Linked DNA regions of Canis lupus familiaris. The protein of the gene in region 1 interacts with the protein of each later gene in a pairwise test. Links are inferred from orthologs where the notes say so. Each region holds a gene or a part of one and is shown on either strand. Other genes may lie near its edges. The genes, in order: PLEKHB2, CDA and C15H1orf94.

What was found.
Region 2: the proteins of PLEKHB2 (region 1) and CDA interact in binary tests that used the Homo sapiens proteins (3 or more experiments, as listed by UniProt). The two-hybrid records come from large-scale screens. The link is inferred for Canis lupus familiaris from reciprocal best matches to the Homo sapiens genes PLEKHB2 and CDA.
Region 3: the proteins of PLEKHB2 (region 1) and C15H1orf94 interact in binary tests that used the Homo sapiens proteins (3 or more experiments, as listed by UniProt). The two-hybrid records come from large-scale screens. The link is inferred for Canis lupus familiaris from reciprocal best matches to the Homo sapiens genes PLEKHB2 and C1orf94.

Annotation. Positions count from the first base shown.
Region 1 is NC_049240.1:22,062,263-22,072,385, reverse strand, and holds the start of PLEKHB2 (pleckstrin homology domain-containing family B member 2), read right to left. Parts: upstream 6,547-10,123; 5' UTR 6,546-6,546; coding exon 6,423-6,545; intron 1-6,422. UniProt on the Homo sapiens protein: Involved in retrograde transport of recycling endosomes.
Region 2 is NC_049223.1:77,722,272-77,732,394, forward strand, and holds the start of CDA (cytidine deaminase), read right to left. Parts: upstream 6,001-10,123; 5' UTR 5,921-6,000; coding exon 5,767-5,920; intron 1-5,766. UniProt on the Homo sapiens protein: This enzyme scavenges exogenous and endogenous cytidine and 2'-deoxycytidine for UMP synthesis.
Region 3 is NC_049236.1:7,755,544-7,765,625, forward strand, and holds the start of C15H1orf94 (uncharacterized protein C1orf94 homolog), read right to left. Parts: upstream 7,039-10,082; 5' UTR 6,933-7,038; exon of another isoform or gene 6,921-6,932; intron 6,414-6,920; 5' UTR 5,766-6,413; coding exon 5,437-5,765; intron 1-5,436.

The DNA.
Region 1 (10,123 bases):
CTCCTCAGTACATAATGCAAATGGTTATTGTGGTAATAGGAAGAGATATTTGCTGTGTTCGCTAACATGCTACAATTTCTTTTTTAGCAAAAAGTCTGGACTTCTGAGTTAAGAACTCAAGTGTACAAAGCTTAGGCAGTAGAGAAGACTGGAGGAATAGATTTTGAAGCAGCCTAAAATTTACTATTAAAAAGAAGGACTTTCAGGAGAAAGCCTTGAATTCACACCCTCAGGAATACACTGAGTTTGGTTACTTGCACTTGCTGTGCAGGCATTTACAAGACAGTCTCCAGAAAAGTCAAAAGGAACCAAGAAAATATTAAAGTCTCATGACAATAAAAGCTTCCTGAAGCCCCTTGTGGGATCCTCACTCTAACTGGGCCCACCACAGCACATCTTCTTGGAAGACTGAGGCCAGGGCATTTTGTCAACTAACAGAAATGCAAGATGGGCACTCATCTGAATGCTGGAAAACAAGTTCTTTAACACCACTGAAGAGATCTGTGTCCTTTAACTGTGCCTACTAGCTTCTTCTGTCAAGGCATCATTTTGGTATCACCACCACCACAGAAAGCATATTATCTCATCAGCCTTAGTCTCAGCCTCCAAAGCCAGAGCATCCTAGCCTCTGGCTCCCAACCCATAAGCAATATGTAACACAATATAGACCCTCCACTTTGGGCACTACAAATAAGATACACCAAAGGCAACAAGTCCTTAAATAAGTAGCTGCTATCACCTGCTCCTTAAATGACTCACCTCACCTAAGCTAGACCACAGCTACATCTTTCTATCTAGAGTCTGTACCCTACCAAGCTCCTGAATCCTGACCACAAAGCAGAGAAGGAAGGGACATTATCCCTGAGCCTACCTGCCCCTCAGCCTTACAGAGCACTCAATGCCACTGCCTACAAGAAGTACGCTACTCATCAGCCTAGCCCAATTCCTGATCCCAGATCCTGCTAGCCTGCCCTGCCTTGAGATTACCTGGAAACAATGGGGGGGGGAGGACCACACGACTTTAAACGTCCATCTTTTCATTTTTCGCTCTGTGTTAAACGGATGTATTACATAGATATGTAAAAATCTGTATTTCTTGTCACTAAACACTGGAATTCACATGAGAGTTATTTTCAGAGAGAAAACACAATAGTAATCTTAAAATGGGAATCCAAGACAAAAGATATACCAGTAATGTCAAGATTACCCATGCCAGTGACTGCTTTGCTATTTTCAACATCAGTGATGGATTATAAGGAGCACAAACAGCTAACTCCACTCCCTCCTGAAATGCAACTAAAATGACTTAGGGGGAAAACAAGGCATAAATCACAAAGACACCAGCAGTAGAGACAAAAGTCAGGATTTGAACATGTGTTCAAGAAATATAGATTTTACACTTGTTCAAATCCTGACTCACTCACTTATAAATAACCTTGAACAAGAGGGGCAGGGGCTGGGAAATAATAAATAACCTTGGGCAAGTTACTTAACTTTTCCAAGCCTTAGTTTTTTTATCTGTACAATGAGAATACCAATACCTACTTAACAGACATTTGGACAATTGGGTAAAATAATATGTTTGGCATAATACCTGACATTTACAAAAACTCAAGAAATGGGAGCTGCTCACACAGCAATTATCACTTATATTTCCTCACTAGCCACCTGACTAAAATCTGCCCAAAACATTCCAGAAGACCGAAGAATATTAAGCTGTGAAGAATGACTTTGCAGACTTAATAAATTAAGATACCCTTGAAAGTCAAAATTTGAACACATATACACTAGAAGTGAACGCAAAAAACAAAAAACCTCCCAAGGAGCACCTGGGTGGCTCAGTCAGTTAATCGTCTGCCTTCAACTCAGGTCATCATCTTAGGGTCCTGGAATCAAACCCTGATCAGGCTCCCTGTCCAGTGGGGGGGTCTTCTTCTCCCTCTCCCTCTGCCCCCACCCACCCAAATGTGTTCTCTCTGCTGCTCTCAAATAAATGGAATCTTTTTAAGATTTTATTTATTCATTCATGAGAGGCATGGAGAAAGAGGCACAGACCTAGGCAGAAGGAGAAGCAGGCTCCCTGCAGGGAGCCCAATAAGGGACTCCACCCCAGGTCCCCGGGATCACGCCCCAAGCAGACACTCAACCACCGAGTCACCCAGGTGCCCCTGAAATTAAAAAAAAAAAAAAAAAAAAATTGTAAAAAAATTAAACCTCCCATTCTACATAACTAAATCCATCTTTTCCCCCCCCAAAGAGTTTCTTTATTTAAAAGAGAGAGAGAGAGAAAGGGAGCACAAGCAGGGGGAGGGGCAGAAGGAGAAGTAGACTCCTTGCTGAGTAGGCAGCCCAAAGCAAGGCTCAATCCTAGGCCCCTGGAATCATGACCTAAGCAAAGGCAGATGCTTAATCGACTGAGCCACCCAGGTGCCCCTCCAAATCCCTCTCTTGAGGAACAAGAATATTTCTTTGCCTTACCTTGCTATATTCCACATCACTTCGCAACTTATTTAAAATTTCACTATTTATGTCCTGGAGCAAGATCTATTGCATAAACTAAAACCCATCAGATAAAAGGCCTGCTCGTGGTCTCCAGAGAATAAAACACCAGCAAACTAGCTGCAAAATATCCACATTACTCACATGCCAGTAAATCTATAGGAAGTTTTTAAATACAAACCATATTCAACAATTCAAATTATTTTAAATGTGAACTGAAATTATCTTAAAAACACTGAATCCAGGGGTGCCTGGGTGGCTTAGTTGCTTTAGCATCCAACTCTTGGTTTCAGCTCGGGTTGTGATCTTGAGGTCATGAGATCAAGCCCCACATGGGGCTCTGCACTTAGCAGGGAGTCTGATTTTTCTCTCCCTCCCCCTCTGGCCCTTCCATACTTCATGCGTGCATGCATTCTCTAAAATAAAATAAATAGGGACACCTGGGTGGCTCAGTGGTTGAGCTTCTGCCTTCAGCTCTGGTTGTGATCCTAGGATCCAGGGATCGAGTCCCACAGAGGGAGCCTGCTTTTCCCTCTGCCTATGTCTCTGCCTCTGTGTCTCTCATGAATAAATTAAATCTTAAAACAAACAAACAAAATCTTTAAAACAAAACACTGAATCCAAAAGAGATCAATTTTTTTTTAAGATTTTACTTGACAGAAAGAGAATACAAGCACGGGGGTGGGGGGTGCAGCAGGAGAGAGAAAAACAGGCTCTCTGCTGAGCAGGGAGCCTGATGTGGGGCTTGATTCCAGGGTCCTAGGATCATGACCTGAGCTGTAGGCAGATGCTTAACAGACTGAGCCACCCAGGTGCATCCAAAAGAGATCAATTTAACAGAAAGATATTGCCTTTGGAATCTGGTAGTTCTGAGCTTTACCTTTTTACTAACATATGACTTTGAGCACAATACTAAACCTCCAAGACCCACTTTTTTTTTTTACCTATTCGACAGGACATTACTGTTATCTCATAAGGTTAGTGTGAGAATTAACTGAGATAATAAGCCCAAAGCGCCCCATAGGAGCTGCTCCAAAAGGAGAGATGGCTATAATTATTATTTTTCCTAAGAAGTGCAATTCAAGGGTGCCTGGGTGGCTCAGTCGGTTAAACGGTTGCCTCCAGGTCAGGTCATGATTCCAGGGTCCTGGGATTCAGTCCTGCATTGGGCTCCCTGCTCAGCTGGAAGCCTGCTTCTCCCTCTGCTTGTGTGCACTCTCTCCATCTCAAAAAAAGTAAATAGGGACACCCGGGTGGCTCAGCGGTTGAGCAGCTGCCTTTGGCTCAGGGTGTGGTCCCGGAGTCCGGGGATAGAGTCCCACATTGAGCTCTCTGCATGGAGCCTGCTTTATCCTCTGCCTGTGTCTGTCTCTCTGTCTCTCTCTCTCTCTCTCTCAGTGTCTCTCATGAATAGACGGATAAAACCTAGAAAGAAAAAGAAAAAGAAAAAGAGGATCTCTGGGTGGCGCAGCGGTTTAGCGCCTGCCTTTGGCCCAGGGCACGATCCTGGAGACCCTGGATTGAGTCCCACGTCGGGCTCCCGGTGCATGGAGCCTGCTTCTCCCTCTGCCTGTTGTCTCTGCCTCTCTCTCTCTCTCTCTGTGTGTGTGACTATCATAAATAAATTTAAAAAAAAATTTTTTTTTTTAATTTTTAGGGGTGCCTGGACGCTTAGTCAGTTAAGTGACTTGAGTCTTGGTTTTGGCTCAGGTCATGATCTCATGAAGTGTGAGATCAAGTCCTGCGCTGGGCTCCACACTTAGTGTTAAGTTTGCTTAAAGATTCTCTCCCTCTGCCCTTTCCCATCATGTTTGCATCTGTGTGTGCACACTCTGTCTAGACACTCTCTCAAGTCTTTAAAATAAATGAAATCTTAAAAAAAAATAGGCAATAAGAATTCTCAAGCCTCTCTAAATACAGGGGACAAGCATTGGGTAACCCATCATTAGTGGTCAGTTCATTTGTAGCATTGGCCACTGACAGGTAGCAACCATTTCTTAATAGCAAGCTTCATACAAGCACTTATCAATGAGGAGACCCACTAGACAGGCAAGAAAGTTCAACTTTCTGTCCCCATGATCAAATTCAGATGCAAACATATGACCAATAAAACATGAATAGTCCACTTTTTGTAACGTTTAATAGTTTACTCTGCAGTTTTTCATACTTACAGACACTAATACTGTTCTTTAGACATCCAGTAAGAAAGAAAAAGACAGAAGTAAGGAGAAAGAAACCAATTATTAACAGGGTAGCAAGCTGGGAAGCATAGTAAAGCTTCTAGAAGGAGTAAAAAAAAAAAAAAAAAAGTCTATCCTTCAGGAAGTAACATGACTATCACAAGAAGATTGGTATCTATTCATTCTATACCACTACCAGTCATGAACAAATTTTACAAATTCAGTCCCTGAGATTATTAGGAATTTTACTTACAGGATGTGCTAACACCATTAAAAATATGCTAGTAAAGAGCCTCTGTCAGGTTCTGGGTTCTTCTCTGCAGCCTCCTTTAGTGAGCATGTACTTCACTGTGCTGTCTGCCAGGGAGATCCTGTGACATTTTGGATTCCTGTCCTCATAAATCAGTACGTTGGGGAGAGGGGAGGGGAGTCAAGTAAAAAAATCACTAACTCAAGAAGTAAAGCCCGGGCATGCTCACTCCCAAGTACAGGCTGGCATGAACAGACGGGATGCACAATCACATATACTCCGATACTGGAGTCCCCGGCCTGCTGGACACATAATGAAGGCCACAAGTAAGCTCTGGCCCGATCAGGAGACCCAGGTACTTCCCTCCCTTTCGACATAACGGCTCTGGGCTCGGGCAGGGGCTCCACCCTGTTCTAGTCAGAGGAGACACTAAAAAAAAAAAAAAAAAAAAAAAAAGGATTCTCCAGGAGCAATGGCGCTGGGAATGAACTACGTTCCTCTAGATTTTTTTTACAGGATGACCACATTCCCTCTACCCATCCTGAAAACCAGAAACTTACTTTCGTTCACGTTAATGAGGCCTGTTCTATGCAAATTACTCTACATATAAGGTAAAAACAAGACTCTGTGCGGACGCAAAATTAAAACCCCGAGCTCCGGAGTTCCCGATCTGGCTGAGTGAAAGGTTCAAATGGGGAAGAGATAACGTAATACCACAGCCCTAAGACTACCCACTCGCTGCAAAGCCAGGAGTAGGTAAAACCCGCCAGTGCACCGTTTCAACGGCGGTCCGGGTTCCTGAAGGAGAGGGCGTTCTCGGTGCGGGCGTGGAGCGCGGTGCCCGCAGAGAAGTGGCGGGGAGGAGCTGCGGGGAGCCGCACCTGCGGGGGGGGGGGGGAGGAGCCGCACCTGCGGGGAGCGGGGGCGGCAGCAGGAGAGCTCGGGCGCGGCTGCGCAGCTCTCGGGAAGGCTCCAGAGGCGCCGGCCCCAGAAAGCCGAGAGGGAACCCGAGCCGGGAGGAGTCCGGCGCGGCTCCAGGGAGGGGGGCGGCGAGGGCCGAGGACCGTCCCCTCTGGAGCGGCCCGTCGCTGGGCGGGTCTGGGCCCGGCCGCAGCCGAGGAATCCGCGGCCCTAGAGCAGGCTCTGGAGGGCCAGGCCCGGGGAGGCGGAGGCCGCGCGAAGCTGGACTGCCCTACCCGGGGCTCCTGGGCGGCCCACGCCGGGAAGGGAGGCGAGGTGGCGGGGGTCGCCTCAGGAGGGCGCTGGGTTGGCGGCGCTGGAGGGGGCGGGGATCCCCGCGGGGAGGGCGGGGCGGGCCCTGAGGGTGCTGCCGGGGGCGGGAGGACTGGAGTACCGCGGGCGGGGGCGGGTCTGGAGGGGCCCTGCCAGAGGGGTCCGGGCCGGGCAGCTCCAGGGGAGGCTCTAGAGGAGCCAACTCGGGGATGGGGAGCAGAGGGAAGCCTGGGGCGCCCCCGCGGGGCCGACACGTTTACCTGCGGACCGCAGCGGGCACCCACGCAGGCGCTGGGGAGCGCAGGACGCCGTGCGGGGGCCGCTCCGACCGCCTCGCGCCTGCTTCCTGGCCGCCGCCCGACGTCACCCTTCTCCGCGCGCATGCGCCCTGCCCCGAGGGGCGGGCCCGGGGTGGGGGCGGGGGCGGGGCCGGGGCCGCGGCGGAGCCTGGGTGGCGGCGGAGGGAGGGGAGAGGGTGGAGGAGGGGTGGGGAGGGGAGAGGGTGGAGGGGCAAGGGGGGGTGGGGGGGAGCCGGAAGTGAGGGATGCACGAAAACTGCTCTGATCTCGGAGGCGTGTGGGAGGACGCCGGGACCGACTTCGCTAGGGAAGTCAGCACCAAAACGAAGTCTGTGGTACTAGGTCACAGCTTAGATGTAAAACAAGTATGTAAGGATCCATCCACGTGTAAGTAAGGTAATGGGGAGAAAACAGAAGTCTTCTCCATAGAAGAATTCTAATAGATCATACCCCATCCAGAGGGGCTATTAATCTCCAGCGACCCACCCCTAAATCTGCATAATTACTTCCTCCCAAAGAGTAGTGTGAGAGGGGAATGACTCCAGTGGAGAAATCTGACAAACGGCATCCAAACGTGATGAGGTTGACATCGGCCTGGTGAAGTCATGTTGATATGATGTGATGAAATGTCACTTTTCCTATGGTCTTCCTTCCAAAAATAGTATACTGCCAGTCTAACCATGAGAAAAAAAGTAGACAAATCCTAGTTGAGGGATATTCCACAAAATAGCTCATCATTACTCCGCAAAACCATCAAAGTCATGAAAAACAAGGGAACACTGAAAAGCTGTCAATGTGGGATGCAATGCGGAATCCTGGGTGGAATCCCGAAACAGAAAAAGGATGTTAGTGAAAACATTGGTAAATTCCAAATAAAGTCTTCATTTTAATTAATCATAATTACTTGTAATTTTTAGTTTTGATAATTGTACCGTGATTGTGTAAGATGTAAACATTGTTAGGGGAAACTGAGTGAAGAGCATACTAACTTTCCTGCAAATTTAAAATTATTCCAAAATAGGGGCACCTGGGCAGCCCCGTGGCCCAGCGGTTTCGCGCTGCCTTCGGCCTGGGATGTGATCCTGGAGACCCGGAATCGAGTCCCAACTCGGGCTCCCTGCATGGAGCCTGCTTCTCTCCTCTGCCTGTGTCTCTCTCTCTCTCTCTGTCTGTCGTGAATAAATAAATAAAATCTTTAAGAAAAAAAAAAAATAGGGGCACCTGGATTGCTCAGTCAGTTAAACATCTGCTTTTGGCCCAGGTCATGATCCCAGGTCTTGGGATGCAGCCCTGTGTCAGGCTCCCTGCTCAGCAGAAGCCTGCTTCTCCCTCTCCTTCTGCAGCTCCCCCTGCTTGTACTCACTCTCTTTCTCTCTCAAATAAATAAAATATTTAAAATATTAAAATAAATAAAATTATTCCAGTATAAAAAGTTTATTTAAATTTTAAAAAAATTTAAAAGACTATTTAAAAGTTTATTTAAAAAAAAAATTCCGGGATCCCTGGGTGGCGCAGTGGTTTGGTGCCTGCCTTTGGCCCAGGGCGCGATCCTGGAGACCCGGGATCGAATCCCACGTCGGGCTCCCGGTGCATGGAGCCTGCTTCTCCCTCTGCCTGTGTCTCTGCCTCTCTCTCTCTGTGTGACTATCATAAATAAATAAATAATAAAAATTTAAAAAAATAAAAAAAATAAAAAAATAAAATAAAAAAAAATTCCTTTTTTTGGAGGGAAAAAGTAGAAACGTTAGTTATCTTTACTGCTAAACGTTTAAGATGCTCTTAAGACCCTGTGGGGCCTCTAGGATCAGGGTAGGTACCCTTTATGGGAAGTAGCCTGAGGGAACTTCTCACAACCCTATTCCTAAAAGGTGAATTTTTTAAACATTTATCAAGCTGTACAGTTCAGGTTTGTTTTCTTCTCTGTGGTGAATAGCAAACATTTAACTGAATAAATTGAGAGATTAATTGATTTTATTCAATGATTCACAAATCAGGCAGCATCACATCCATCAAATAGAAAGGAGCTCCAGTGAGCTGTAGAAAAGGAAAGGTTTTTCAAGGTGAAAAAAAGGATAGGAAAAGAAAATTATTAGCAAAGAATGCACTGTTTCAGGCAAGGTTGTCTGCCTAAGGAGATCAGTAAGGGTCTATCAAGAGGATTATCTCACTATGTTTACCAGGTAATTCCATGTTGTCTGGTTAAAGATTATTCCTGGGAGATTGAAACTACAATTAGGTTAGGTATTAAATCTTGGTTTGCTAGTGTGGAATTTAGCAAAAGTATCTCCATTTTGGGACTGCTTTCTCATTTTTAACATCTGCATGTAAACTTTTTTGCACTCTCTCTCTACACGCGCACACATACACACACTTTAAAAAAATCTATAGGAAAGGCCAGTAGTTAATGGTCTTCAAAACTCCAGACTCTGATGGCAAAAGTTCACGTCTTAACCCAGCTCCTCTCTGAAAAGTAATACAGGGTGGGGAATCCTGTGATGCCTTCCAATCTAATCTTTTGCAAAATAGTGTGACTTAGTCAACAAACAGTTCAAAGATTGGAATCATCTAGAATTCTTCCTGGTCCCACCACCCAAGCATGAGCTTGAGCAAATTGCCTGACATCACTGAAGTTCCTGACCTCTTTCAGTAAGTGGTAAAGCTAGCCCTATATTCTGTGTTAGTTTTAGGTATCTTTGAAGGCTTGGATTTGGAGTGTCCAAACATACACAAACATTGTCTTTGAGTGATGGGGCTATGGATGACTTATTTCTTCTTCATATTTTTCTGTATTTTCCAAATTTTCTTCAATTAATCACTTAACTTTAAAATCACTTAGACAATAGGAAAAAATTATATATATCTATATCTAGATACATCTATCTATATCTATACATATCTATATTTTTAAAATATTTATTTATTCATGAGGGATAGAGAGAGAGAGAGAGAGGCAGAGACACAGGCAGAGGAAGAAGCAGGCTCCATGAAGGGAGTCCGACTTGGGACTCAATCCCAGGATCACACCCTGGGCTGAAGGCGGCACTAAACCGCTGAGCCACCCGGGCTGCCCTATATCTATCTATCTTTAAGCTCACAACCCTTAGATCAAGGCCTGAGCTGAGTTCAAGAGGTAGCCACTTAACCAAGTGAGCCACCCAGGTGCCCCAGAAAAAAGTAATATTTGAACCCAGTTTGGTTTATGCAGATGTTCCAGGAGTTAGAGCAGGAAATGTCTCCTAGTAAGTTTCCTGGTTTAGTAAAATTAACTTTCTTTTCTTTCTTTTTTCTTTAATTCTTTAATCTCTTTAACCCAAATTCAGGTCAAAGTAGTTCTCTTAGGCTATTAATACAGTATTTCACCATAATTGGCAAAGTTCATAAGCACTCACCAGCACTATGACTTGTGCATAGCTACAAATACTATTCAATAAATATGAATTGAAAATCATAGTGCACTATCACCAGTGACGGCTGATACGAAGAACAGCAACATTCAGATCCTAAATATTCCGGACTCCTGGGATTCCATAAGTGGAAGCAGGAAGTAAACCAAAGTCTCCTCTGGAGTGTTCTGACATGCTCCCAAATCACCTAAGTCATTGTGTGTGTGTGTGTGTGTGTGTGTGTGTGTGTGTGTATTAAGATTTAACTTAGTTATTCAT
Region 2 (10,123 bases), on another chromosome or scaffold:
CTGGTCTTATTAAAAAATAGAGAGAGGAGAAAAAAAAAAAAAAAAAAGAGGAACAAAGCCCTTAGTCACGTACTGTGATCCTCAAAGGCCAGACCATTTTTTTTGCTTCCCTCAGCTCGGAATAGGGCATCATCCATCCAGGCAAAGCAATGCCATTCCCAGTTTCCGCCTTTGCTCACTCTAAAACACACGCGAGAGACAGACCGGCGTGGTGCCAAGTTAGGGACCCACTGTAAGGTTGGACCGGCTAATACTGTGATGACAGGGCTGTTATTACTAACTGCTTTCTTTTATTCTTTGCTTTCATTGTTTTTCTTTTATCTGCCTGGCACTCGGCGTGGTATACTTCCATCTGTATTATGTCGTTGACCCTTTTAACAACTCTATAGGGCAGAGACTATTATAACCCCATTTTAGAGAAGGTTAATGCTGAGGCTGCTGGCGGGGAGCCTGGACTCACTTCCTGACCCATCAGGTACAAAGGACTGTCCTTTTTCTCTGTGGCATTTCAGCGAGGACATGTTTCAGAGTTGGTTTGGTGCTAACAGTAGGGCGAGGGTTAGATGTTATCAGGGCATCGGCAAGGAAGGAAGTGCCCAAGGAGGTGATCTGGGCTTGGCCGACCAGAGAAAAAGAGCAATGCTCGAAATCACTGCGCCTACTCCCTCTTGAGGGATCTTAGTACAGTTAGAGCGATTCTTTCCACACTCACCCCACGGGTGTCATCTTCTGGACGGCTTCTTAAAAGAGATTTCTGGGATTTCCTGGAGTTTCTACTTGCAAGTAGGCCTGGGTCAGACCCCAAGAATTCACATTTCTCGTAAGTTCCCGGGAGGTGCTCCGACCACAGGTCTTGGGGACCATATTTGAGAATCACTGAACCAAAGAAATGTCATGTCCACGTGCTCCGAGAAATACTACACTTTTTCCACTTTCCTACCTCCCTCTGCCCACTGCACAGGCAGCGCACAATGACACATATGAATTCTATTCGAACTCAACTACAGAGTCCCGGGGTTTTAGTGTGAAGCTTATCTTTGTAATGAGCTGCTTTTGAGTGACCACAGCCTGAGGGTGGGGGTGAGGGGACAGGGTGTGGTGGGTGTAAGGAGGGCTGGAGGGACAGGAAGGCAGTTAGAGATGCCTGCTTGGACTCACCGAGAGGTGCTGTGGGGAGAGGGGTGAGGCTTGGAGAGCGGTCCTGGATAAGAAGGGTAGCCCATGGGGGAATCAATCGAGAAGCCAGGGGCTGGTCTGGGGAGGACGATGAAGGATCAGATTTAAAGGTTAAAGCCAAGACAAGCTGGATTCAAGGTGCCCAGGACACCTTGAAGTGTCTTTTTAGAAATGTGGTTTGTCCCTCCCAGAATTCATTACAGCCACATCCAGTAAAGTGGCTTTACCCCTATAGGGTGCTCAAGTCCCTCTAGGGAGAGGGGGTGAGGGAGAGAGAGCATTGTCCCAAGGACAAACTTGCCCATCTCTTGGGAGGTGTCAGTGAAGAGCGGTCTCCTCGACTCCTCCACCACCTCCCGTCTGGTATTGCACAAGCACTGGCTGCCCTGGGCTGACTCCACTGCCCCAGCCAACCCCCCCCCCCGCCCCCCACCCCCGCTGCTGCCTCATCTCCTCTGTGTCCCCCCACACACCGCAGCTCTTCCTTCCCCAATGGGCTCTTCCTCTCCCCCTCTCCCTGCAGCAATCACAGAAGGCAACTGTTGCCGTGATTAATCGTGATTAATCACCATCCTGGTGGCCCATGCTCGAGGGCCATGAGACCCTGGCCAGGGTCAAGGGGAAGTGATCGTTATGACAAGATCGTGACAGCAAGGGCGTCAGACTTGTTTTTCAACTGAATGGGGCACCAACCGCCTCTGAGGAGGGAAACTGCACAGAGGCTGGCCTTTGGTGCAGCTGGAGAAAAGTCACGGAACTGGGCAGACCCATGGGGCGCTAAACTATAAGCTCACAGCATCTAAATTCAGCTGCGCCCTCTCTGCCTCCTGATTGTCTCTAATTCACCCCCATGGTGCCCCGTCTGGTTTCCCCTGACTGTTCTAGGTCCCCTCCTCTCCAAGCCCTCCCTTCCCATCTATAGGAGACCCAGGGATTCGGGTAAATGTCTTCCATTCGTCCCCCTCTCCCAGCACCCTCTCTCTGCCCGGCTCTGCATGTGCACCCTGTGACAAGGGGCAGCACAAAGAGCATGGCCTCAGTTATCTCATTGGTACAGTTGTGTTTGACTTCGGCTTTGGCACCTCCAGCCTCCTTCTTGTGACCCCCCTCCCCCCTATGGGGAATAGATGTGGGTGTGATCCAGCCGGACCAATCACACTACTCCACCATGACAACAGTGATTGCCCAGGGGTGTGCATGTGATTGGAGATGGACCAGTCAGAGCCCTTCTCTGGAATTTTACCGTCTCCAGCTAGTGGGAACCAGTTCTTGCCTCTCTGCTTTTGAGGCTGTGAGAATGTGAACCAGAGGCTGCCTGCACTCACGTTCCCTGAGGCCTGTAGAAAGCCCACCTACGGGATAGGGGAAAGCAACAAGCACCCAGAAGGATAGAGAAAGGCATTGGGACATTGGAGTTCCTGGATCCAGCTGTCCCTGAGCTAAGATCTACCCTTGCTCATTATGGTTCTGGTTGGTTTCTGTCACTTACAACTCAAAGTGCTGACCAATGCATGTGACGCTCGTTGTCTCCCTTCATGTGGTGGCTGTGAGATCTTCCATACGAAGTGCTTAGTGAATGATCAATCACTGAATGATCAATCAATCCACTGTACCTGTTGGTCCCTGCCCGTGATGTCCTCAGCACCATTCATCTCTGCCTTCAGCTCCCCACCTAGGCCAGTGCCTCGTCATTCCCCTGGTCTACCCAGCTAACAATCTAGAACCATATTCCTTTCCTTCATTCGAGTACTGCTCACCCCAAGTCCAGTCCACTTGTCCCATAGAGTTGCCCTCAGGTCTTTCCTTCATCATCATTCCACCTGCCACTGTCCGAGTCCGAGTCACTCATTCACACATTCAACAAGCTTTAACTGAGGGCAGATTACAGGCTGGGCAATGGGCTGGCCCTGTGGACAGGTCAGCAGGCAAGACAGACATCATCTGCCTGGCACTCTTTCCTCTGTCTTGGCTTTCCTTGAGTACCTGTCAGGCTAACTGACTTTGAATTCTACTTTCATGTTACTCTTCTTTTTTGTTTTTTTTTCTTTTTTAAGATTTTATTTATTCATGAGACACACATAGAGAGAGAGAGGCAGAGACACTAACAGGCTCCACGCAGGAAGCCCAACACAGGACTCGATCCTGGGCCTCCAGGATCATGCCCTGGGCTGAAGGCGGCACTAAACCACTGAGCCACCCAGGCTGCCCTCATGTTACTCTTCTTAATAACATTCCTGGTTCTCCATTTCCTAGCTCATCAAATCTCAGTGTCAATGGTTGGCCTTCACAAGTCTTCCACAATCTGCCTCCAAATACTATCTATGTATATAATAATACCACTAATAGTAGAAGGAGAAGAAGCTGCCACCATTTGTGGCGTCCTTCCTGTGGGCAGAAACTGTGCTAATCGCTTTATAGGCATTAGCTCACGACCTGAGGATTCTATGCCTGATCAGCACAGGCACCAACTATCAGGGAGGACCCTGATGTCACGCTGGTATAGGCAAACCAGCTCTGTTCACAGCCATCCAGAAAGGTGGGTGCATGACCCTCAGTTTACAAATGTGTGAGACACATTAGGGTGAAGGGTCATGCCCAGGATCACAGCTGATAAACAGCAGCACCAGGATTCAAACCCAGGAGTCTCTAAGTCCAGAGCCTTCACCCCATCCCAGAGGGCCTCCCTAAATCCCCACTGCACACCTGGGTTCTTCCCTGCAATTTAAATAGGCCACACTCCTGCTCTCCTCATTCATTCACTCCTATAGCCATTGGGAGGCTTCCCTTTCGAACCATAACCTGTGTAAGAGGAGGGACCTCCATGGGGGCAGAGACTACGTCATTTCTGCCATTGCAATATCCCTGGTACTTGGCACATTATCTAGGATGTCATGGTGCTCAGCAAATATTTGTTAGATGAATGAACCCATGCAAAGAATCATTGGAAAGAACCAGTAACTGATTCCACAGTCAAGCCCCTGGAGTCATGGGGCAGTGTGGGGTGCAATATTGTTTGTGGCGGTGGTTAATATTTAATACTCATCTGAGCCACCAGGCCAGGCCTGAATTCCCACGAGACACACCAAGAATCTTGATTCCCTGCAGAATAGCTGACCTGGAGTCAGGGGAACACGGGGTTCGAATCCCAGCTCTGTGATCTTGGGTGTGTTTAGCTTCTATGAGCCTTAGTTTCCTTCCCTGAGATATAAAACTGCCTTGAGGGGTTATAAGGGTCAATGGACAAAATTCTTCACTATCCTTTCACATACTAGCACTCATTCAAAGTTCCTTCTCCGGCTCAAAGAGGTTGAAGACCCAGGTGATTCGTGAAACCGGACAGAACCTCAACGATGGGACACAACATGAACAGCAAGGAGAGCCCAGGAGGGCCCCCACACAAGGGGAGATGAGGGCCCCCAGCCAGCCTCACAGCTGAGCAACAGTGGGGGCAAGTGGCTCCCCACTGGAGGTTATCGATTAGATGTACACACATGAACCTCTGTCCCTTTAAATAGCTGTCATTGCCAAGTAGAGGCGGATTCTGGGCAGCAGGGCTGGGTGTCCCCATCCGTCCCCGCTGTGCCAATCCTCATCTGCCCTCCGAGTGGTGGGGAGGGGCATGGTTTCCCCGGCCACTTCCTCACCCTGCTCCCCACTGTTTTGAATGAGAATGCCTCTTAGCCTAGCAAAAACAAGTCTCAACTTTTGTTCAAGGAAGTTTTTCTATAAAACCAACAAACCAAAGAAGAGGAGCTTAGGAACAGATCAGTGCTGACTCCCATTCCCACCATCCGCACTCTCGCCCTCCCCAGGCCAGCACTCATTATTGCTGGTCACCTAAACTTCGCCAGGCTTCTTTCCCCCAAGATCCCCTGTGAGGCTGGAACTCCCGCTAACCAGTCACCCTCTGCTGGCCGTGGGCTCTTGAGTTTCTTTCCTCTCCCAGTAGGTGGTGGGAAGAAAGCAGGGTTTGGGGGACGCCAGCCTTGGGTTCCACCACCAGTGCCCCCGCGTGACCTTGAGCAAGCCGTGTCACCCTCTCTGGGCCTCAGTTTCTTTATTGAAACGTGAGCCTCACACGGAGGTGAGTGGGTGAGAGGTGAGGACTCGCTGATGCCACCCGCAGGTGCCACCAGGTGGAGGTGGGGGGGGTGGGCTCAGAAAGTATCAGCCCTCTCCCTCCCCGCTGGGACTTGTGGCCACCACCCCTTTCAGCTTCCCTCCCCGTCCCACCTCTGGCTTCCCAGTCCTCTTAAGAATTGAAAAGTCGTTGGGACGCCGGGGTGGCTCAGCGGTTAAGCGTCTGCCTTCGGCTCAGGGCGTGATCCTGGGGTCCCGGGATCGAGTCCCACATCTGCCTCTCTCTCTCTCTCTCTCTCTCTCTCTCTCTCTCTCTCTCTCTCCCCCCCCCCTTTCTGTGCCTCTCATGAATAAATAAAATATCTTAAAAAGAGAAAAGCATTGAAAAGCCGCTGCATCTGAGCAGCACCTGCACCCCCAGGTCCGGGCCGGCAGCAGGCGGGGGTGAGGGGCGTGAGGGGCGCTGCCAGCGTCCCCGGGGTGCGGGCCCGGGCACCGGGGAGCCCTTACCGGAGAAGATCCTCCCGTCCTGAGTGAGGATCGCGGCCCCCACGGGGAAGTGACTGTAGGGGCAGTAGGCGGACTTCTTGGCCTCCTGGCAGGAGAGCAGCAGCCGCTGCACGAGCTCGGGCTCCAGGGCGCTGGCGGGACGCTCGTGGGCCATGTCGGTCCCGCGGGTGGCGGAGGCGCGGAAGCCCGCTCGCTGCTGCTGCCCGGCCGGCGGCTCCACGCTGGCTCCTCCCCCGGGGCGAGCCCCTGAGCGGAGGGGGGTGTGGGGGTGGGGGTGGGGGTAGGGGGAGGAGCCGCCCCCAGCCCCACCCCCGGAGCGCCCCGTGATGTCACCGGCTCCTCTAACCCTGCTCCCTATACGCACATGACCTCATTCCATCCTCACGACAACTCTGCAAGACGCGGTGAGCGCACCCACTTTACAGATGGGGAACCTGAGGCTGCAGAGACAGGTGGTGATTAATCTCCTAAGGTCACATGGCTAATCAGCGGAAGAACTGGAAGGACGCGACTGTGCTCGTGTGCTCACCCTCTGCCCCGGGACCACTCGTGTGTGTGTCACGGTGCCCACGAGGGCGAGTGGGTCAGGGCGTGGCTGCCCTCCTCCCCCTCGTGTAGGGAGAGACTGTGCACACGTGCTCCTCAAGGAAGAGGGGGTCAGTGTGAGGTCTGGGCAGTCCAAGCCCCAAGGGTTGAAATGCCCCTCAGTTTGTTGAATGACTCTCCTTCACTGGGGGATGTGATGAGGCTGAAAGGGCAGAGCTGGGGCAGCCACTCTGGCTTCCTGAGGCAGGGAGTGTGAGACAAAGCAGTAAGACCAAATTGCTTCTTTATTTTCACCCATTCTCCTTCTGACTCCTGTCTTAACCCAGAATTTAAAAGTATCTCAGGTGGAGGGAACCTCTGAGGTGGACTACTCGGGCCTCCTCATTTTTCTGTTGGCAACATAAGCATTGGGTTAGTGGCTAAAGAAATGGGTTTGCATACCGGCACCGCCGCTTTCCACATGTGCAACCCCTGGCCGGTTCTTTGACCTCTCTGAGCTAGTTTCCTATCCCTACAGTGAGGATAGTGACCATCTCTGTTCTACTTCCTTGGATTATAGGAGAGCTTGAACTTTGGAGTTTAGTAGACTCTAGTTTGAATTCCAGTTCTTCCGCTGATTAGCCATGTGACCTTAGGAGATTAATCACCACCTGTCTCTGCAGCCTCAGGTTCCCCATCTGTAAAGTGGGTGCACTCACCGTATCTTGCAGAGTTGTCGTGAGGATCGAATGAGATCATGTGTGTATAGGGAGCACGGTTAGAGGATCCAGTGACATCATGACAGGACCGCTCTTTATGACTTCCTGCAGACTGTCACTAAGGGACTTGGCCCAGATCACATAGGAAATGCAGAACACCAGCTGGAGCGTCCAGAGGCGTCTGAATGTCTGAGACACCCCCACCCCCACCCGTAGCAAGTGGGGGTGAATCAGCGCTTCTCTGAGGGCTCGGATGGAGGGCGGGGCAGGGCAGGGGGGTTAGGTGGCACAGGGGGAGAAATGAGGCAGCGGGTCCGTATCCTGCATGCTAACATCTCGGGCAAAACAGGTGCAGCCCAGCATCTCTGTGTCCTGTAGCCTGGAGCTCTCGCCCCGTAGAGATATAGGCAAACACCCAGCTGGGCAAAGTCGGCTTCATTTTCCTCTCCCTCCCCTCCCCTCGTCCCATCAGCCCCCCCTTCTATATATCCAGCCCCCAGAGAAGCAGCTGCTTCCTTCCTGCCCGCTGTTGCAATTTGCTTCTGGTTCTACACACTTGGCATCTAGAGCAGCTTCCTGGATCTGAAGCAGGGCTGGCAGGGAAACCAGCTCTAATGTTCCCCCAGCTTCTCTATTGCTGCACCACCCAGCTACCCCAAAGGTCCATGTCCTGAGTTTCCAGGAAAGAAAACAAAGGCTGTCTGGGGAGCATGTGCACCCACTCCACATGGAAATAATTCTGAAGCTTTTGGAGCCAAGTATAATTGCAATGGGAAAAGAAATACAGGTACTGCTGGCCTGTCAAGCCTGAGACCTCCACGGGCAGTGCTGTTCCTGTCCCTGTCCCCTGCCCTATCTGGACTCACTTTTGCTAAGCCCAGCCCTACCCAGGACTGGGGCTGGACTCCTTGGCTCCATAGCATCAGGAGAACTTGGGTGGCCTCCATGAAAATTATGGCCTTGGCCCCTTCAAAGCTCTTTCCCTACACTTGATCACACATGGGGACAGTGTCCATTGCAAAGCCAGCTGAATGGGGCTGGGGAGCCAGTAGTAATTCTAGAATTCCTGACACAAGGAGCTTGGAGTGACCATCTGGAAGGGGAGAGTGGGTCTGGAAACATTTACAGAGCTAAGTTTTAGATCAATAATATTAACAACATTTTCTAAACATGCTCTAATCTCCACTCAATGTAAAATTAAGAAAAGTTAATTCCCCAGCTCAGAGAATAGGAATATGTAAGCAAGGTGTTTTGAGTGGTGGTGGAGATCCTCAGGGCCCAAAGCCTTCCCTCCAGCCCCAAGCCTTTCCTCTGTGAGGAGAACCACCCAGAGTCCTCTGTTAGAGTTCAGATACCATTAACTCACTGCTTTGTTCAATGACTAGTTACTCATAATAACAGCTAACTCTTATGAATCTCTTTACATGTGCCCAGCCCCGTGTGAAATGCATGATTTGAATCATTTATGTTATCCTCACCACAAGGTAGATGCAGGCAATACTACGTGCCATGTTTTACAGGTGGAGATGAGTAAGGGATAGGTGGGGTGAGGTAGGGAGGGATAGGTAAGGGACTACACGATCAGCCTCACCCCAAATCCCAGAAATGCTGAGATGTAAGAAAACCAGAGATAAGGAAACAAACCAGACCACCTGCCCTGGGCCTCAGAGGTGGCGTCTTTTTATGGCAGTCACATCGTGGCCACAAAGAATAACCAAACCCCAAAGAAAAAATAAGCCATTCAAGATGTTGTCAGCAGTCCTTACTCAAACCAGGACATCACAAGACTGTTAAGGCCACAAGCTCCCTGGTCAGTTCTAAGTAAAAGACTGCTGGTGGAGGCTCAGGTTGGCAACCTGGTCAGGACCCTGTCACTGCTGAGAACTTTTTCTGTACCCTTGGTTCATAAAACTGTATGGCTCTGCTCACTCTCCTTTGTCTGTGAGATTCATTCTTTGATTCCATGAGACAAGAACCTCACTCTCTTGATTCGAGGACACTTGAACTTATGGAGATCAGAAGGGAATCTCAAACATGAGTCTGTTTGCCTCCATCTGAAGGGCTATAGTCTGTCCCAGAACTCACAGAAAACTGGCATAATAGACCAACTAGGGGTGCAGGCTTCGACGTCCAACCAGTCAGTTTGAATCTTCCTTCTGCCTTTTATTACCAGCTGGGCACCTAGGCTGGTTAGCTCATCACTTGGTGCCCCTCTTTCCTCATTTATACGAGGGGCAGCTCTAGTATCCACTGTGGTGGATCATGGTGACTGGACTCATGTTCTGCTCAGATAGATGTCTCATTTCCTTCATTGTGGTTCCTTTGGAGGAGACCTACTGGTGGGTTGCCAGTCATGGTGCTTCCGCTCCCTGGTAGGTATGGGCAGTTGACACAGGGTGGCCAGCCAGGGACTTCGCTTTCCGGCTGAGTCAGCGGGAACATTGCTTTCTCCCACCATGGTTACTAAGCTAGGATGATCTGATTATTGCTGACAGCTAGCTTGCCCTCTGGGTAGAGAAAGCCTACTTGTAAAGTGAAGCCAGGTGGAAAAAAGCAGAGCTGAGAGATGGAGGGGAAAAAAACCCTGATTTTTCTCTGGGCATCTGGATTTGGCCACGAAGACACACTTCTAGACTTCCTTTCATTTTTTTTAAAAGATTTTATTTATTTATTCATGAAACACAGAGAGAGAGAGAGAGAGAGAGAGAGAGAGAGGCAGAGAGACACAAGCAGAGGGAGAAGCAGGCCCCATGCCGGGAGCCTGATGTGGGACTTGATCCCGGGACTCCAGGATCACGCCCTGGGCCAAAGGCAGGTGCTAAACCACTGAATCACTCAGGGATCCCCTAGACTTCCTTTCAATTGAACCAATAAACTCACTTCTTGCTTAAACTTGTTTAGGTTTTGTTTCTGGCAACCCCTTGGCATCTAAGCTAACATACTACTTCCTAGGATTGTTGTAAAAGATCAAGTTAGGTGCTATATGTAAAGCTCTTAGTTCAGTGACTAGCAAGTGTTAGTTCATATTATAAGAAGTACTGTGTGCCAGGCCCTGTGCAGGGCGCTGGGGAATTAGGGGTGAATAAGACCTGGAAACGGCCCTGGAGGACTTC
Region 3 (10,082 bases), on another chromosome or scaffold:
CCTCGTCCCCATCACCCCCATCGCCAGGTTCCAGGCTTTTTGCAAGAATCCTACTAGTACGCAAAAGTGAGCACATATTCCAAGCAGCTCTCCCGGGAAAGAGGGTTCACCCAGCTGTTCACCTAACTGTGGTGCAAAAGACTGGTTTGTTGGGGGAGCAGCTCAAACCAGGTGGCACGTTGGGTTCCAGGCCCCGGGGGCCCCGGGGGCCTGGAGGACGGGTCAGGGGGGCGAACGGTGAGGATTTACTAAAGCCGGTACCCAATAGGTGACTCAGGAAGTCGTTTTTTTCTTAAATCCTTAAATGCATTCGTGTAGACTCCTCTTCCCTCTCAGGTCCGGCTTGGGGTGACGCCCACCGAAGCCTTTGGACTCCGCAGACCAAGTCCTGTCTGACTTTCGGGAATGGGAGGTCCCCAGGGTGCAGCCCGAGAGCCCAGAAGCACCCGGTGAGCTCCCAGCCACCTCTCCACCCCGTCCACCCCCACTCAGGACAAGCCGTCTCCGGGGAGCTGCCTGGCTTTTCCTGCACCTGCAGGATGCTCTCTCTCTTCTCAAGACCTAGCTCAGGAGATGCCACCGCACAGCCCCTCACAGTGACAATCCCACCACCCTGGGGCCCAAGGGGCCCTCCCTGTGCCCTTCATTGCATGCATATATGGCAGGGGTCTCATCGTTCCACCTTCAAGCTGGTCTCCCGCAGCCTCCTCCAGGAAGCCCTCCCTGCGCCCCAAGCCCAGACCTCGAGTCTCCCTTTGCGTCCCCCCTTGCACCCGCGGTAACATGTTGTGGCCTGCCTTCCTCGACATGGTGGAAGTTGGCGGAGGTCAGAGACCGTCCCCATCGTTCCCACTGTGGCATCCAAGCAGTGGGCGCACGATCAATATGGCGAAGGTCGTTGCCGCTGTGTCTGGGTCGATCCCGGCCACTAAGGTGAAGCTCTTAGAGAGAAGGGCTCCTGCACTGCTCATCTCTGTGTCGTGGGACCCAGCACAGGGCCTGGCAGCCCAGAGGGCAGCCAGGAATGTTTGTTGAATGAATCTGCAAACACAGGAATGGACAAATGCCACTTCCCGGTCAGGGCAAGGGGGTCACTGCAGACCCAAAGCCCTGTTCCGAGGCTGTGGATTGTCAGCAGTGGGGTGAGGGTGGGGGTCTGAGAGGGCCTCGGTCCTAGACTAGGAGTCAGGCGGTGGCTTCCCACAATTCTCTAAGCCCAAATTTAAGTCTAATTAAAACATAGCTCAGTAAGAGTCTGGAGTTTGATGAACACTAGATAGAGTCATCGGTTTCTCCCCAAAAGCCCATTTGTCCCATTTCTTCCCCATCTCAGGGAACGGCCCACGGTCCAACCCGCAGCGCAGGCCGACGGCCTCGGAGGAGCCCTGCTGCCTCCGCGCTGGCTGCTCTACCAGTGGTCTTCCCGCGTCCTCACGCAGGCCCGCACGCCCTGTCCACACCGCAGCTCGAGAGGCCTTTGAAGACCAGTCAATTCGCTCATGCTACAGCCCCGTCCCCAAGGCCTCTGCTCGGGTCCCGCCCCACGGAGATTCCCATCCGGGCTCCGATGGTCACCCCCCGGGCCGCCTCCACCTTGCCAGCCTGCTTCCCATCGCTCTGTCCCATGTCCCCCCGACCCCCGGTACCTGCCCGGGTCCCGCGCTCCCTCCCCGGGCTCACCTCGATCTCGGGCTCCTCGTAGTCGCCCTTCCCCGGATTTCTCCCGACCGGCCCCAATTTCAGGTCACATGACCACGTCTCCCCAGAGGGCCCTGCCCTGACCCCCTCCCCGCCGCTGCCTCAGGGTGCTGTGCTGGGACCCGCGTTCTTTCCATCAGAGCACTCGTTGCCACCTCAAGTGATTCGGTCTCTTTTCACGTGTTTGGTTCCCTCCAACTAGCACGCCAGTGCTTCTCGCGTTCCAGAACCACCAGCATCTTGTTCACTTGCTTTCTGCTTCTGTCTCCAGCTTGAGAGGAAGCTCCCAGACGGAAAGCCCCACCCAGCCCGGGGCTCCATCCCACTCCTTCTCAGCGCGTTGCCGGGCACACAGTTGACGCTTATTGAGGATTTGCTGAGTTAATAGCTGAATGAATGGATGAATGGACGAGCTCAGAATGTGCGCACACTATGAAGCTGGCTCGTGGAGGAGAGCGAATGCGTCCTATTCATCGGCTTTAGCATGAACACAGAATACGGAGACGATCCAGTTTGCACAGACTGGGGTCACCCCTGGGTTACCGTGCTCGGTCCCGGTCACTGCGCTGTCACGGGGACCACAGTGAGCGTAGAAAGCTGACCGGGTTGGCGCGGGAAGGGAAACTTAGGAAACCAGCAACGATCAGCTACGGAAACCAGAAATCCCAGGAAGGACGCCGGCGCCATCCTTTAATAGCTCAAGAGCGGCTGGAAGAACGAGGGGGTTGACGTAGCTTGCAGCCCTAAGCCCGTGGATCTGAATCCAGATCCATGGGTGTTCGTTTGATAGAGACAGATGCCATGTAGGAAGGAAACGGTCCCTTGACAGCCTGCATTCGCATCTCGGGAGGTGGTGAGCTTGTCATCTAAGAAAATGTACGGGCGGGTAACGCCTTGGCGAGGATGTTGAGGGATTCAAGCAGCAGAAGACGGCCTCCGATACCCCTTTCAACCCTGACACATCTGGGATTTTGTGATATACAGGGATTGAGTCCACAAGACGTTTCTGGCCAACAGGGGTTCTGAAACTTACTTATCTAGCAGAAAACATCACCCAAACCGGGTCTGCACGTTAAGCAGTGGGAAGACGTGCTGAGGGGTATCTCAGGGGCTTGCAGCCATCCCGCAGACACACCGGGCAGCTCACTGGGTTCGAAGCCCGCCATCTGTGTGTGACCATCCAGCCCACGAGGCTGTCGGGTGGCGTGAGGACCCAAACGCCGCTTCCACTTTCCGGGGAACAGCCCGCACTCCCTACAGCACGGTCGCTCAGGTGAACCTGGGTGTGCTTTCTGAAACCCCAGCACCCTGTAACCACCGGGGCCCCGGGCAGAGACCCCAACCCCCCAGCCTATGACCTCCTCTGCAAAACGGGTTTCATTAAAACCCCGGGGAGGGGAGGAATCGGACCGAGAATGGCACAAATGTGACACTTCATGAACCTCGGAGACAGACCTTATTCTATTGTATACATGGGAACATCTGCATAATAAAAAGTAAAAAAAAAAAAAAAAGAGGGAGAGTTTAAAATAGTACCAACCTCACATAATAATTGCATAATAATTCACATAATAATTTAAAGTCATCATCGTCATCGTTATTGTCCCAAGGAGTTTATACGGATCCTAGTTATTACCATTATTGCCAGGGACGTTTAAATATCCCGCTGAATCATCCCAACAGGCCACTGCGGTGGTGGAGATGGTCTCCACGTGGCAGATGAGGAAACTGAAGCTCGCAGAGGTTAAATCCCACAGCACGATCTGAAGCAGCTACGGGGCTCCGCCGTCACGGCTGCCTGGGTTTCAACAAGAGCCCCTCGTGTTCTACTTGGGTGATGGCCACACACTTCTGACATGGGGTGTTCATCTCAGGCGGGGGTTTCTGAGCTTTCTCAGTGGCAAAACCATTGTTTTTTTGTTGTTGTTGTTTTTCCAAATGCTGCTTTTCCTGCAAACTCCAGGGAACAAAACCCCAAAAAGCCAAGCAAGCCCTCTGGCCAAAGTGGGTATGGTGCCCCAGCAACCTAGCCCCTTGATTCTAGGGTGGCCCCTGAAGCCCCTTAGGGTCCAAGAGCAGAGTGTGACAACCCCCGACTGAAGCCAGCAGCGACAACAACAACAAAAAAACCCTAAGCTCTGAGAATTCCGTGTGAGGACAGCCTCCTTTGCATAATGCAGCTTTGGAGGTGGGGGGGTGGGGGGGGCTCCTGTCTCCGAGGCCTGTGATCCTCATTATCAGCTCTGAGGTGGACCAGGCAGGGCAGATGACCCTCAATTTGCAGATGAAAAGACATCAAGGCCAGATGGAGTTGAGCCACTGGGCAAAGGTGCACCAGTTCACTTTGGGGCCAAGCGCAGACTGGAAGCAGACCTGTGTCCATTAGCTCAGTGTGACCTGGCAGAGAGGGTGCCATCTACTGGAAATTGCCACTGACCCTTGGTCCACAAAGTGAACGATCAGCGTCTTGGCCACCGAGTGCTGAGCACAGCCCCGAGGCCCCCTGCCAGGGCTCCATCCCGGAGCAGATGGCAATGGGCAGCAGAGGGGGGGCTCAGCGCCACTGGGGGGCTGGCGGCAGGATTCGGCCAGTAGACGGGCCATTCCCATTCCAGCCGCATGGTGCTGGGCACAGGGCAGGGTGAGCAGTGACAGCCGGGTGCCTTCCACCTTTGTCGGCAGCCCGAGAGGGGACAGCAGGGAGTGCACCTGGGGCACCTGCACACACTTCGCCTTTCTTCCCAGCTCTTTTCTAGAAATCCCCGAAACCAGACATCGTTGGTGATTGCCTGGATGCCCCCCCACCCCACATCCGGCATCTCCGACTTGAACTGGAGCATGTGTTGGAGCAGGCAACACTTAATTATCACTTAGTCTTCAATTAGCACTTAATTATTAACACTTAATCCATCTGTAAAATGGGGACACCAATACCTGCCTCCTAGGGACCCTGGGAGGATTAATTAACGTCTGCAGCCCACTCTGAGGATGCCAGACATGACTGGGGGCTCACAGTGGCACTGACGGCCGTGGCGCTTCGCTCGCTTTTCCTGACGCGCTCTCTCCTTCCTTTCCCTGCGAATTTCCAGCCCCAATCATATCTGCCCAACATTGAGCTCTGTGTTTCCCAGGCACAGGATTCCCCAACTAGGAAAAGGGCTATTTACAGCCATCCTCCCGCACTTTAATTTTCTATTGTGCCCTCTGAATATGTCAATGCCTTCCCAGTAAATATTTTGATGTGCGCTCTTGCAGCGGCTTCTGTGGAGGCTGAATGGGACAGCTGCTCCCTGTATTAGGGAATTCCAGATGTGGTTTAAAACCACCAGACTCATCTGTGACAGTGCCTAGCCTCTGGGAGCGGGAAAGGGAACGTATCGCAGAGCTGCCTGGAGGGAGAGCCACGGGCATCCGACCCTCAGCCTAGGCCGGTGAGGGTTTTCGAGGGCCTCGGATCTACACCTAGGTGGCCTGGGCAAAGGGAAAAACACCAGCCCTTTGTGGGCTGGTCAAGAGGCAGCAGAAATACAGCCCTGGTCTGGCTCTTCACCGGGGAAGCTCAGGATCCTGGTCACCCACCCTATAAAGATTGGACAAAGGACCCCAACAGGTGGAGAGAAGGCATATACAGCCTAAGGGTTTAACCAGACTCAACAACGGGCCAGAACATTCCCCCAGAAGGTCGGACCTCGGCTCCTCCCTCCTCCCTTGGTGCCAGCCACAGACGGGGACACTCACCCTTCTTGGAAGCTGAGCCCGTTGTCTCTCGGAGTCCCAGCCACCGGGGCAGAGAGCTGTTCCTTCACGGTCCTGGGCTGCAAGGCCTCGGGCAGGCCTTGAACTCTTTTCCAGATTTCGTGGCAAGTCTTGTCTAAGCTGTCTTGGGGTGTGTCCTGGTGGATCCAGATGTATCTGGGGAATGGGCCCAGGGCGGAGGGGCGCTTGGCCACCAGGGCTGAGGATGAAGGGAGCCCATTTCCACTGGCCATCCTCCTCCTGTCTTTCCGGAGGCCCCTTCGTCCGCCCAGGGCTTGAAGACAGGGGGACCATCCACCACCACCCCTCATTCACCGGAGAGGGAGATGAGGATGGGCAGACGCAGGTCAGTTCTGCGTGGCTGTTGCTTCAGCAAGGTGGCTGTGCTCAGAGGCCTTCGCGGTGGGTGTGAGGGGAGGATGGAGCACCGCTCTCTTTTGGGGAGGGGGAGCTTATTTTGATTTGCTTTTATTTGCTCTCTTCTGACTTTTGCCCCCCTCCCCCTCTCCCGTAGAAGAAAATATTTGAAAGTCAACAAAAACCAGTAGCTTAGTAACCGTGGAACCCCCCTGAGCTCAGGAACCGGGTGCCTGGGCGGGCAGAATGACATCTGGGAACAGCTGGAGGGGGAGGGCGGGCTCTCCCCGCAGCCCCCGCCGTCCCGTCGCCACGCCCCCGTGACACCTGCAGCCCTCAGCCCAGTCCAGGGCTGGTGGGCAGGTGCTAGGCCAGGGCCCGGCGCAGGTGCTAAGTCAGGGCCCGGTGGGCAGGTGCTGGGTCAGGGCCTGGCGCAGGTGCTAGGCCAGGGCCCGGCGGGCAGTTGCTGGGTCAAGGCCCGGTGCAGGTGCTAGGTCACGGCCTGGCAGGTAGGTGCTGAGTCAGGGCCTGGTGCAGGTGCTGGGTCAAGGCCTGGTGCAGGTGCTAGGTCAGGAACCGGCAGGCAGGTGCTAGGTCATGACCTGGCAGGCAAGTGCTAGGTCAGGGCCCAGGGCAGGTGCTAGGCCAAGGCCCAGGGCAGGTGCTGGGTCAGGGCCTGGGGCAGGTGCTGGGTCAGGGTGCAGGGCAGGTGCTGGGTCAGGGCCTAGGGCAGGTGCTAGGTCAGGGCCTAGGGTAGGTGCTAGGTCAGGGCCCAGGGCAGGTGCTGGGTCAGGGTGCAGGGCAGGTGCTGGGTCAGGGCCCGGGGCAGGTGCTGGGTCAGGGTGCAGGGCAGGTGCTGGGTCAGGGCCTGGGGCAGGTGCTGGGGCAGGGTGCAGGGCAGGTGCTAGGTCAGGGCCTAGGGTAGGTGCTACGTCAGGGCCTGGGGCAGGTGCTGGGTCAGGGCCGGGGGCAGGTGCTAGGCGCGGCAGGGGCGGGGTCAGCCCTCGGGGTCCCGCCCACCGTCCCGGGGCCTCCCAGGGACCCCGCCCCCACGCCCTGGGGCTCCGGACGGCAGACCCCGGGGTGCCCCCCCCCCCCCCCCCCGTTACCCCAGCAGACACCTGCCCGCAGGCCCGCTGCCTGGGCCGACTTTGCCGGCGCCCACACCCTGGGCCCAGCGCCGGGTTCCTCTGCGGCCCAAGCGCAACGGCTCGGAGCGGAGCGCGGGCGCTGGGTTCGGGGTTCGGCGCCCAAGGCCCCCGGGCAGGTGGGGGCGGGGCCGGGACGACCCGGGGGCACCTGCACCTGCACCTGCCCCGTCGCGCCCGCCGCTCATGCACAAGCTCTGCACCTGCCGGGGGCCCTGCCCGGAACCGCCGATGTGGACCCAAACTGACATTTTTGGGGGGCGCTTACCGTGTGCCAAGCTCTGGGCTTCCCGTGTCCTAGCCAACCCACCAAGCTCGTGAAGTTAGTACCTTTGTTACCGGTGGGGCCTGGAGGAAACGCAGTCTGCGGGTCAGAGGGGGTCGGTCCAGAGCCCACCAGGAAGACAGGAGCTGGGATTCACACCCAGGCCCCCACCCTCCAGGCCCCACCCAACCGTCACGGCCTTAGGGATCCCTCCTGAGCTGGGTTCAGCAGGTCCCCAGGGTGGAGGGGGAGCGGGGGGCAGTGGGGTCAGGGGCTCCTGGCCAGAGAGAAGGGCTAGGTTAGCAGTTTGCGGCCCAGTGAGCTCACCTCTCTCCCTGGATGGGCTTCATTAAACTCAGAACTGATGCGGCACTTTGCCTGCCCAGGGCTCCACGGCCCCGGGGGTCAGGGGTCCACCCAGGAAAGGGAGAGCGAGCCAGATGACTGGGAGAAGAGTGGATGGGAAGAGACCAGCCACGGCCACCTCCTGGCTGGGGGGGCCCAACCCCTCTTTTAACCTCCCCTATGCGCCTTCCTTCCTTCATTCCCCAGGATTGGCTGAGCACCCCAGGTGAGATGCGGGCACCGAGGACGCATGCAGGTGAGCAAACTGGCACGGTCCCTGCTCTCCTGAGGCCTGTATTCTAGTGTAAGGAGAAAGATCGCACACTAGCGAAGTAAATAAGCACTAATTACAGACGAAACGAGGGCTCTGACGGAAACTAACCATCACCACGTGTGCCAGTGCCTCGAATTGGGCATAGAAAAGGGAAAGTATCACGGAGTGGCCTCCAGGGAAAGCCACGGGCATCCGACCCTCAGCCTAGGCCAGTGTGGGTTTTCAAGGGCCTTGGATTGACAACTGGGTGGTCCATGCAGAATGAAAAATGTCCCCTTCGTGGGCCAGTAAAGAGGCAGCAGAAATACAGCCCTGGTCTGGCTCTTCACCCGGGGAACCTTAGGACCCTGGTCACCTGTCCTATAAAGACTGGACAAAGGACCCCAACAGGTAGAGGGAAGGCATAGGGGAGGACAGGGGGAGGGGAAAGGTGGCAGCATCAGATGGATGGCCAGGTAGGCCTCCTTGAGGAGCTCAGGTGTAACATTGGAGATGAGACAGAAGGAGAATCCTTTTTTTTTTTTTTTATAAAATGGTGTTGAAAATTCTTATGAAAACCACATTTCTGGCACATAGTAGGCACTCAACAAATACATGTTGGATGAATTAATGCTATATCATTTGTAAAGTACCTGGCATACAGTCGGCGCCCAATACACAGCTTTGCTCTTTAAAGAAGGCCTGAGTTCCTGGGAATGTTGACTCTCAATTTTGAAATCCGAGCTTCATTCGCCTTTGATTTTCATTATAAAATTGAAGATGTGCTCCTTTGGGGAAAATTCTGAGGACCTAGACTGAATAAAATTATAGTTAAGAATGTAGAAAACCTTTTAAGATAGTGTATTTAAAGGAAAAGTGATCATTTCTGATGAAATATTAATAGTTCTGAAAATGTCACTCAGTGTTTGTGCTGCTTGGCATTTGGTTGGCTAACACCCATGCTTAGAGCAGAAGGCCAACAGCCCGGCCCTGCCCCGGCCACAGGATTCTGGAAAGTTAGCCAGCTCACTCGCTCCTGTTCCTTCTCCCCCCACAGCAGGAGGCTAGGCAACAGGGGCTAAATTGGAAGGGATTGAAAAAAAAATAAAATAAAATAAAATTCAGCAGGGATAGGGAATGTTTCTTGGAGCACACAGCTGAGGTTTCCAGAAGATTCTGCAGAAAACATAAGCGAAGTAATTCGAAATAGTATAAAACTATGTCTGATATGGTAGCTGCTAGCCACATATGGCTATTTTCATTTTAATCCTATTTTAATGTAAATTAAGTTAAAATCTGAGTTCCTTAGTTACATCGGCCACATTTCAAATGCCGCATGTGGCTCGCGGCTGCCATTTTGGACTGCGTGGGGGGCATCTGCGTGGTCATGAGACACATGGGCTCTAGAGCCAGACTACCCGGACTCGACTTCTGAGTTCATGGGTTCTGGCGACAGATTACCCTGTGCCTTGGCCTGTTGGTTCTCTAGGGATGCCGCAGGAAGGGAGGCTAAACCCGAGAAATGCATTTCTTCCCGGTTCCGGAAGCTTGGAATTCCAAGACCAGGGTGTCGGCAGGGCGTCTCGTGGGCTCCTGGCTGGCTGGCTTCTCCCTGTACCTTCATATGGTCTTCGCTCGGTGCACCTGTCCTCCTCTTATCAGGACCCCAGTCATCCCAGATTAGGAGCCAATCCAGAGTCTCATTTTACCTTAATCACTCTTTAAAGGTTCCATCTCCACCTAGAGCCATATTTTGAGTTTTTTTGGGGGGGTCGTTAGGGCTTCAACATATGAATTTGGAGGGACACTATTTAGCTCCTAACACTTGGTCGTATCTATAAAACAGGATGATAACAAAGAACACCTGCTTTGCAGAATCATGGTGGACGTGCTATTCCTGAGTCACGACTTAACACACGGGACGCGTGGCCCGTAAGAGACGCACAGCAGTGCCGTATATCCGTCCCTTTGTTGATTACGCTGAAATGTGTGCTACCGGGGTTTCTAAATAACAGCTTTTGTGCAACGCGTAGGGAGGGGAGGACTTGAGCTGCACTGGGGAAATTGCTCTGTGAGGAAGGGACAGACTCAAGTCATCAACTAAGCCCTTCCAGGCTTTGTTCATTTTTGAGCGCCTGCCACGGGCCAAGATTGTGCAAGACACAGGGTGAAGAGATGAATAAAACCTCTAACTTAGACGTCGTCATAGGCGCGCGAAGGGAGCGAAGCTTTCCAGAAGTCCCTGGCACACAGCAGATTT